2 linked regions of the Danio rerio genome follow. The protein of the gene in region 2 binds, or shares a complex with, the protein of the main gene of each other region. Links are inferred from orthologs where the notes say so. Each region holds a gene or a part of one and is shown on either strand. Other genes may lie near its edges.

Region 1 (4,616 bases), on a different chromosome or scaffold from region 2:
CCTGAAGGACTCAATTAGTTGGATCAGGTGTGTTTAATCAGAATTGGAACCACACTGTGCAGAGCTGCGGCCCTCCAGAAACAGAGTTCGACACGTGATGTAGAGCCACTGCTGAGCTACTCTTTGTTCCCATTCGACTTCATCTGGTTTCAAATTTGAACTTGAAACTGTACTACCAACATTTTAATAAAAGGAGACAATAAAAACAGAAAATGGAAAAAAAGAAAAACTAATCTAAATGAATAGGGAAATAATTACAGTATATACACAAACTAAGTATCATCACCACCACAGCAACAACTCTCAAATTTCCCATATTCACGGCAGAGGAATCAGCTCACAAGACCTAGAAGAATAAGAGACATGTTCAGACAAAAGCTTGATATCATCACCAGAAATTATTTAAAGAAGACTTAATTAAAACGTTCTGTTATCAATTTAATAAGTATAGTTTCAAGCTTAAATCGTAGAAAACATATACCCAGGTAGTCATCCATTAAAGATCCAATGGCAAACTAATAAAAAATAAATAAAAGGACAAAACAAGTCATTAAAAACTGTTAATAAACATTGAAAAAATGATTTATATCATCGACATATTCGAGAAAACTGGCATTTACTTACAATATCATTCTTGTCCACACGAGTTCCCACAATCTTCAGTCGAATTTCATCATCTTGTTGAATCACAACGTCCTGTTAAAAAAAAAAAATAAAAATTGTGTTTAAAACTGTTGAAAAAGAACAACTTTCAAAACAAAAAGCATTCAATCCTACCTCATCCACTGTCTTGTAGCATGGAGGATTTGAGTTTGGATCAAACTCCATCTCAGAGGGAATAGACTAGATTCACACACACAAAAAAAAACACACACACACAGATTTAAGACAATTACACATGTCTTTTACCAATACACGAATATATTTTACCATGAAAACCTACATGTCGAGAAATGAAACAAGACATGGGGCCAATTTCTGTAAAGAGTCCAACCTGGGAAAAAAAGAAATAAAAAATGCATTGAACACTGGAAAAATCTGTAGCAGAGAAAAATTAATGTTCAGTGTCATGTAGAGATTGAGCTTTCACTTTGTAAGACAAATGTATTGTCAGGAGCCGCAATTCGAGTGTTCATTTTGTTTTGCCAGTGCAGGCTTTTTTTTTACTCTTAGAAGTGCCGGTTAAACATGTGCCAGGTTCCCTGCAATATATCCTGATAATGAACAATCCTAAAATTGGTATCATGGACACTTCAAAATTACATTGAATTATTATTTCTGTATAGTATTAGAAAACATTTTAGTTTAAGCAGATTATTGTATCGGTAGTGGTGTCAATAACATGACAATTTAATAGACTATTTATTTGCAAGCAAACATTTTTTACATGAATCTGGCCAATGACATCGACTGAAAATGTTTAGATTATTTACAGACCTATTGTTCATTACCATTGGTTCAACTCGTTTCCTATTCTTTATTCCTAGGTTAAGTAAAATTCTTAACGAATAATAATTAACTAATAACATTCAGTTATATTGTTCAAGACTAACACTGACATTTAAAACAAATGAAATTGTTTAGTAAAGTGTTACCCATGGCACTTTGAAATACTTTTACAGTTTATTTTGCTAGGAAAATCTGTCAACTGTGAACATTTAAGTGCAATACACAAAATGTAGTGTTTATTTGTTATTAAAACTAATTTGTAACTGCTTAAGTCAATATTTTGAGAATGCCATAGATTGTGATAAAAGCTTCAGTAATTATCACAACTAGAAAATCTGATAACACCTTATGCCTATATAAAAGCTCTGAGGACCATTTGCCAAGGGTCTGAAACAAAGGTAATTATACTACAGGGCTTGATTTTGATTGGCTGGTGAAACTTAAGGTGTTCAATTATTTTTAAATAAGCACACTGCTTTCGCAGTTCCAGGCAGGTCTTGACTGCATTAGTTCCACATCACTACGATGAATGGTTACAGTTATTTCACATTTAAAAATCAAAACTAAAGGCTTTGGCTAAGATAATTATGACACTACATAAGTATTACACACGTGAGCTGTCTGAGGACAGAAATCTGAAAAATGTCTCGATTTAAATCATCTGACCTGAACATTTATGTCTAGTAACCATAGTATAAGCACAATAATAGTCTCCAGTTTATTGAACAATTAGAAAATAATAAAACATTATGTACACAACACCTTGTTTGAGCATTATTGTTTTAATAAGTATTAATTATCCCGTACTGATGTTCTATATAATGTATGTTTTATATTTATATTTTTGTAACTGTTGTATGAAAATAAAAACACAAACCGTACTTTGTTAACCTGAGTGACAACAGCATCCACAACTTCTCCTTTGAAGGGACGGAAGACGATGGCTTTGTATTTGACGGGATACAACACAAAACCTCTGCCCGGCTGTATAACCCCTGCTCCAATATTATCGATTGTGGTTACTGCAATAACAAAGCCATACCTGGGAAACAACACACGAGCATTAGAGAGTCAGATCTCATAACGTTCATTCATTTATTGATGAAGTAACGTTAACTTACTTTCCAGTACATGTTCCTTCAACCTCAGTGAACAGTTTCTGTTTGACTGTGTTCAAAAGGTTGGGTCCAAAATATCTTGGATGGAGGAGAATTTCATGCTCCAGAGAGATCTATTGTGACAAACAACGTGTAAACAACAGTGAGCACAGAAAACATTGACGGACATTTATAAGTGCTGCAACTCACTTATCACGTAAAACTAAAACACCCACTGACTTACGTGGTAAAACATCTCTTATTGTATTTTAGCTTCCAAAAGTCTTGAATTAAAACTCTACAGCCACGACTTTCTATGTCAGTGCGTTCAGGCGCCGAATCTCGACAGCGCGAGCACGCGAATGTTTCCGGGTGAAAACGACTGCAAATTAAAAGCCCTAAGATTCCCTAGAAATAAAGTCCCTGCTAGTTTAGTGTGCGTTGATTCTGGATTCAGAATTTTATTTTTATACAAATGTAGACACTTCAACTGTTTTTGTCTATAAGATTCCCTATTAAGGTAAGACACTGCAGATGAAAAATAAATGAATTCATATTTATTAGCAGCTACTTCACCAGATGAGTGATTATTACATTATGATTTTTAATGCTATGTGTGATATTTATTTATTTGCAGACATTTTACCTCGAAAATCAAAACCTTTGAAGTCAGGCCCAAAATGTATATTTCTTTCAAAACATTTTCTTTAAAAATGAGAATATGCAAGTTTTGAGTATGTGCTGCTTAAATGCTAATAGTAGGCTAAATGTTCAAAATATATTGGCTATTGGCGTGGACACAATAAAGCTTTTAAAAACCACACAGTAAATTCAGATATCTTGTTGTTCACATTTGCTTCTGTTTTAACTTTTAAGATTGTCACGTAACAAAAAAAATAAAAATAAAATAAACAGTTAATAACCCAACTTGCATGATTTTTTGCTATGACCCAATGTTGTATACGTTTTTAATGTCCTTAAATTTTAATAGCCATGCAAATAAAACATAATTAAATACATTTTAAAAGAATATAAATATTTGTAACATGCATTTTTTAATAATTTGAGATTTTTCAATCAAGCAAGCAACAAATGAATGAATGAATGAATGAATGAATATCAATAATGCAGAACTTATTTACAATAGAAAACATGTTCTTTTCCAAACTGAATGGTTGCCTATAGACCATTTTGAGGGATGTGAACAAAAACAATGGTCCCAACGTATTTCCTGTTTTACATTTCTATAGCTTCTAAGAATCTAAAAAGAGACACATATTAATAAATAATGTTATGATAGCTGTTTTAATATTAAGTTATGATTGAATTGCTTCTTGATACAGTTATAAAATAGTTTGATAACAAGCAGGAAATGTTCATGGGCCAAAGACATGACCACACTGAAATGGTCTATAACTAGTGAAATGAGATTCGAACGATTTTATTTGTGTTTTTAAAACATTGAACACACAGTGATATCAATTTCGATGTTGTCTTAAGATTATGGTAATTTAATTTGAACCAATAACCAGCAATAACATCATCGTTGTTTCCACTAAATCCGATTTTACTCAGTCAATTGTAAACGCACCACTTTGTTTGCTGACCCGTGTTCAGCGTTTACACACAGCCTGCAAAACAACACACGAACACAAGAGGTCACTATAACTCTAAACTTTTGCATTGTGAGGTCATCATTCCCCAGATATAGGAACTTGAAAGCATTTTCTAGATGAATATACGATTTTTAATTACTGAAGGTTTTTTATGTACACTCTGGCATATATTTTTGTATATTATTGTACATTTCTGTATTTGTTGTTTAAAAAAGCATTTTCTATCGAAGCAGCGAGTGATATTTGCACCAATATCTTACATTAAAGTTTTAGTGCTGTTGAATCCAAGTGACGAATAAAATGTCTATTTCTCAATAATCCAGAGGTATCTTGACAACTAGCAACTATGTAAACCTAAATTATATTATTGTCTATATATACATACATACATAGTCTATATATACATACATACATATATCTTTGTGTGTGTGTGTGTGTGTGTGTGTGTGATCTT
Region 2 (3,830 bases):
ACGTGGCCTGCTTCATCATCATCCTGCTCTTCATCCTCACCATCCTCTCCCTCGCCACACTGGCGTTCCTCTATGAGCTGCTGGACTGTGGATGCTTCAACAAAACCAAAACCGTTCGTGACCTGCGCCGACAGCACGACGAGGTGGTTTAGTTGTAGCCATGGTGACAAGGTCTCCATAGGAACCAAAACAGTAGACTGGTGGAAAAGGCACTTCGTCAGATCGGAGCCCCTTAAAACACGCCAGTTATGTACAGAGACAGAAGCATTCTACTCCCACTAGATCCAATGGCAATACACGACACAGGTGTCTCGACGGCTTCAAATATTAGATGAGATTTGCATTAGAAATGGAGGCTAAAAATCTGCTTGTGAGTGTACATCAATGTTTTCACCGCATAGAGTCTGAGTATTCCAATGCTACTGTGTGATGACTCTATAAAACGGTTGATTTTTGTTTCTTTTTAGACGTGTTTACATGAATTTATCCCATTGAGTGGGATGACAAAACAGTTTACATATCAGTATTGTGGAATTCCTAAGCTAAATACAGTATGGTTTGACTACCTGATGCAAATATACAGCTGGATTGAAAAGAATGTTTCTATTTGTTTATGTTCAGATTTATTATAGGTGAATACTTATGTATTAAAATAGTTCTATATAAAGAAGCACACTAAAGGCCTATTATTGCATCTTTGTGAATGCCTTAAAATTGTGTATTTAAAATTACATAATAAAAAATCATGCAAGCACAAGAAATGTGTGGTTCCCAATAAGGTTACAGAAGATATTACAAGCTGATGAAATTACATTTAAAAAAAGTTTTAATGTTCAATAAAATTATAAAGGTCTGTCCTTGAACACTGTTCTTCCTATTATATACAGTAACTAGACTGAACTCTATTAAGCAGTGCAGCTGCTGAACCTCACTCAAGAAAATGAAGCATGACATTATTTCTGGACAACTCATCTTGAGAGCCAGAGTGATCAATAATCCAATAATCAATAATCTATCTGATATACGCCTGCATAATATTAGGGCTGGGTGATTTGGCCTAAAATTTAAATCTTGATAAATTGAACATTTGAACTCTATTTGGATTAATGAATGATTATTTTATTTATTTATTTTTATTTTTTTTGCCCTCATAGTTCACTGATAAGTTTTGTACAGTAAATATGCTCACATATTACAAGTGAGAGATTTGTGAATGAAGGGTGCATCACTTGATGATTTAAAAATAATTGAAGGAAACACAAACTATCTATGACTACTAATTGAACATCAACATTGAACAACTTAAATTAAGACACACATGCCTGAAACCAACAGTCACGAATAAATAACTTTCACTTTTGAAAACAAAATAAACGTTTTTTAGTGTTTTTCATATTGAAAGTAGAAAATAAGCAGTATCTCTTCTAAATAAAGTAACTCTTGTATATCCTGTAAATAATATTTAAGCATTTCCTGTGTCTTCTGTAAACAAATATTTTTAAATGTAAACAATAATTTCCTTATTGAATGTAGGTTCAAATTTTATTTATTCTTGTGATTAAAAACTGAATTTTCATCATCATTACTTGAGCTATCATTTTCAGAAATCATTATAATATAATGATTTGTTGTCCTACTATAGTCAATTATAATGATTCTTATAATTATCAGTGCTGACAAGATTTGACTGTGATACAACTCACTTTTAGGATTCTTTAATCAAAAAAAGTTCAAATGAATAGCCTTTTTTCATCATAAATTTATAATGTTAAAAAATTGTAAATCGTTATCATATGCGTATTTTCTTGTCCAGAGATTTTTTTTAACAGAAAGTTTGCATTTATTTGAAATAGAAATGTTTTGTGGTTGTTTTGTGATTACAAATCATTACAGTAAAAACACATCCAATATCTGACTGCATTTGAATAAAAGCAATAATTCTGTTTGGGTAAAGATTTTAAATTCGCAAATTCTGACTTTCTCCTTAATATAGTTTCAGACAAGTATTCTTTGCAAATTCTAAATAGGGAAATCTTATTAGCATACAATGGCTATTACAGTACAAAATTGTTCAGAGTCATTTAAATACTGCTAATGTTGTTTTGAAATCATACGTAAATGCGATTTCAGACCAAATATTCAAAGTGGTCACTGAAGAAATGTTCGATTATAAAACCAACATTACCTCAATAATAATTCTGTTAAATAAAACAACAGATTTTTTTGCACATTAGTATTACAAAGTAGTGCACTTTTTAATGAAACAGAAAAAGTTATGCCCAAGCACTTTGTGAGAAGTGAGTTGATTCTAAAGATTTAATAAACACCCACATATTCACTTACCACTGTTGTTTTTGGAGGAAGATGACGACTCTTTGTCTGGTTTGCTCTTTTTCTTCTTGGAGGATCCAGAGGCCTCAGAGGCTGCTGGTCTTTTCTCTACTGCAGGAGTTGACAAAGCTCTCTTTTTAAAGAGCTCTCGCTCTCTCAGCAGAGCTGGATCCATCCTGCACACATCATAACACATAGTTAAAATCATAAACACATAGTCTGACTGTTAAACGTAGTCAACAGTACAAATCCAAGTGAAGCGAATCCAAACCTTTCATACAAATTGTCCTAAAACTACTGAATTAGACCTTTCTTGTCTGTGAAAAACATTCTTGATACAATTCAAATGTTGACTACTCTATACAAATTGATATCTATTTTAGTCCATGCTAGCAATTCCATGCAACTGTCAACCCTGAATTAAATTAAGTTTTCACCAAAATACTGAAAACATTTCTAAGCTTTTTGTGCCAGCAAGTATTTTACAGTACTTTAGAAAAACTCAAAAATGTATCTGTCAATGTTTACAAACTATTTTATTTGATTTATCAAAGTCACACAAGTGGCAATTTCAAATCTGTCTCATCTAAAACGGAGAAATGTCACATCCATATCGACACTTTTTCCTCATAAATGTGAAAATATTAAATAAACTAAAATCTCTCATTTTTATTCTACAGAGAGCCAACTCTTATTCTTTTGATTATCATTATTTGTTTTGGGTTGTGCAGTTTAATTCACAGAATTTCTAAAGTATGTTGTATACTGTACAGACTTTTTTGGTCACATCCATAACCCGTTTATTTTCTTCATTTAAAGTACAAAACGTGTTTACAGATTGATATTTTTCTGCTTTCATAACTCTGTGGTCAGTTGTTCTGGAAAATATAAACGGATGTTTCGATATAATGGTAACATATACCTTCCACGTGAATGTATGTTTTGAGTGTTTTACTGCAAATGTCAGATCCAAAACGCTGAAATTGCTCATAAATGATGCTGACAATGTATTAAAAACAATCAAGGATCTGCTATACCACATATATCTTATGACAGGCTTAGCTTGTTTGTCTAGCATGATGAAAACCAAAAGGATAAATTCATGAACTATTGAAACCCAGTGGTTTATAGTGACAAATTACCAATACTCAAATTACTGCAATTGAGTAGTTTTTTTAAGAAATTGTAATTAACTTATTAGTTTTAAAAATGTGAACTTTTACTTTTCCTTGAGTACATTTTTAGCGCTGTATTGGTATTTTAACTCCACTACTTTTCTTCAAGCTGCAATAACTACTTTATTATTTCCTGTCTATGGAGATTAGAAAAATTAGCAGTGTGATTAATGTCTAATGCATACTGAACTACCTCAAGACATGAAGCAAACTGTTTAGAAGCATTAAAAGTGTCCAAGAATATACTCTGCATGCAATGACCCAGAGACTGCATATTTAGACTGCATGTCACTGATGAGATGATGACAGATGCCGAATGCATGA

Evidence for each region.
Region 1: gtf2e2 (region 2) and polr2g share a complex: the UniProt entries of both Homo sapiens proteins name them as parts of the TBP-based Pol II pre-initiation complex. The link is inferred for Danio rerio from reciprocal best matches to the Homo sapiens genes GTF2E2 and POLR2G.

What each region holds. Positions count from the first base shown.
Region 1 is NC_133189.1:30,990,323-30,994,938, reverse strand, and holds the start of polr2g (DNA-directed RNA polymerase II subunit RPB7), read right to left. Parts: upstream 2,915-4,616; 5' UTR 2,803-2,914; coding exon 2,791-2,802; intron 2,681-2,790; coding exon 2,571-2,680; intron 2,492-2,570; coding exon 2,332-2,491; intron 995-2,331; coding exon 944-994; intron 844-943; coding exon 778-843; intron 697-777; coding exon 625-696; intron 516-624; coding exon 482-515; intron 347-481; coding exon 333-346; 3' UTR 1-332. UniProt on the Homo sapiens protein: Core component of RNA polymerase II (Pol II), a DNA-dependent RNA polymerase which synthesizes mRNA precursors and many functional non-coding RNAs using the four ribonucleoside triphosphates as substrates.
Region 2 is NC_133176.1:24,437,920-24,441,749, reverse strand, and holds part of gtf2e2 (transcription initiation factor IIE subunit beta), read right to left. Parts: intron 2,508-3,830; 5' UTR 2,507-2,507; coding exon 2,344-2,506; intron 762-2,343; exon of another isoform or gene 153-761; coding exon of another isoform or gene 1-152. Other genes in the region: smim18 (small integral membrane protein 18), read left to right, coding at 1-152. UniProt on the Homo sapiens protein: Recruits TFIIH to the initiation complex and stimulates the RNA polymerase II C-terminal domain kinase and DNA-dependent ATPase activities of TFIIH. Both TFIIH and TFIIE are required for promoter clearance by RNA polymerase.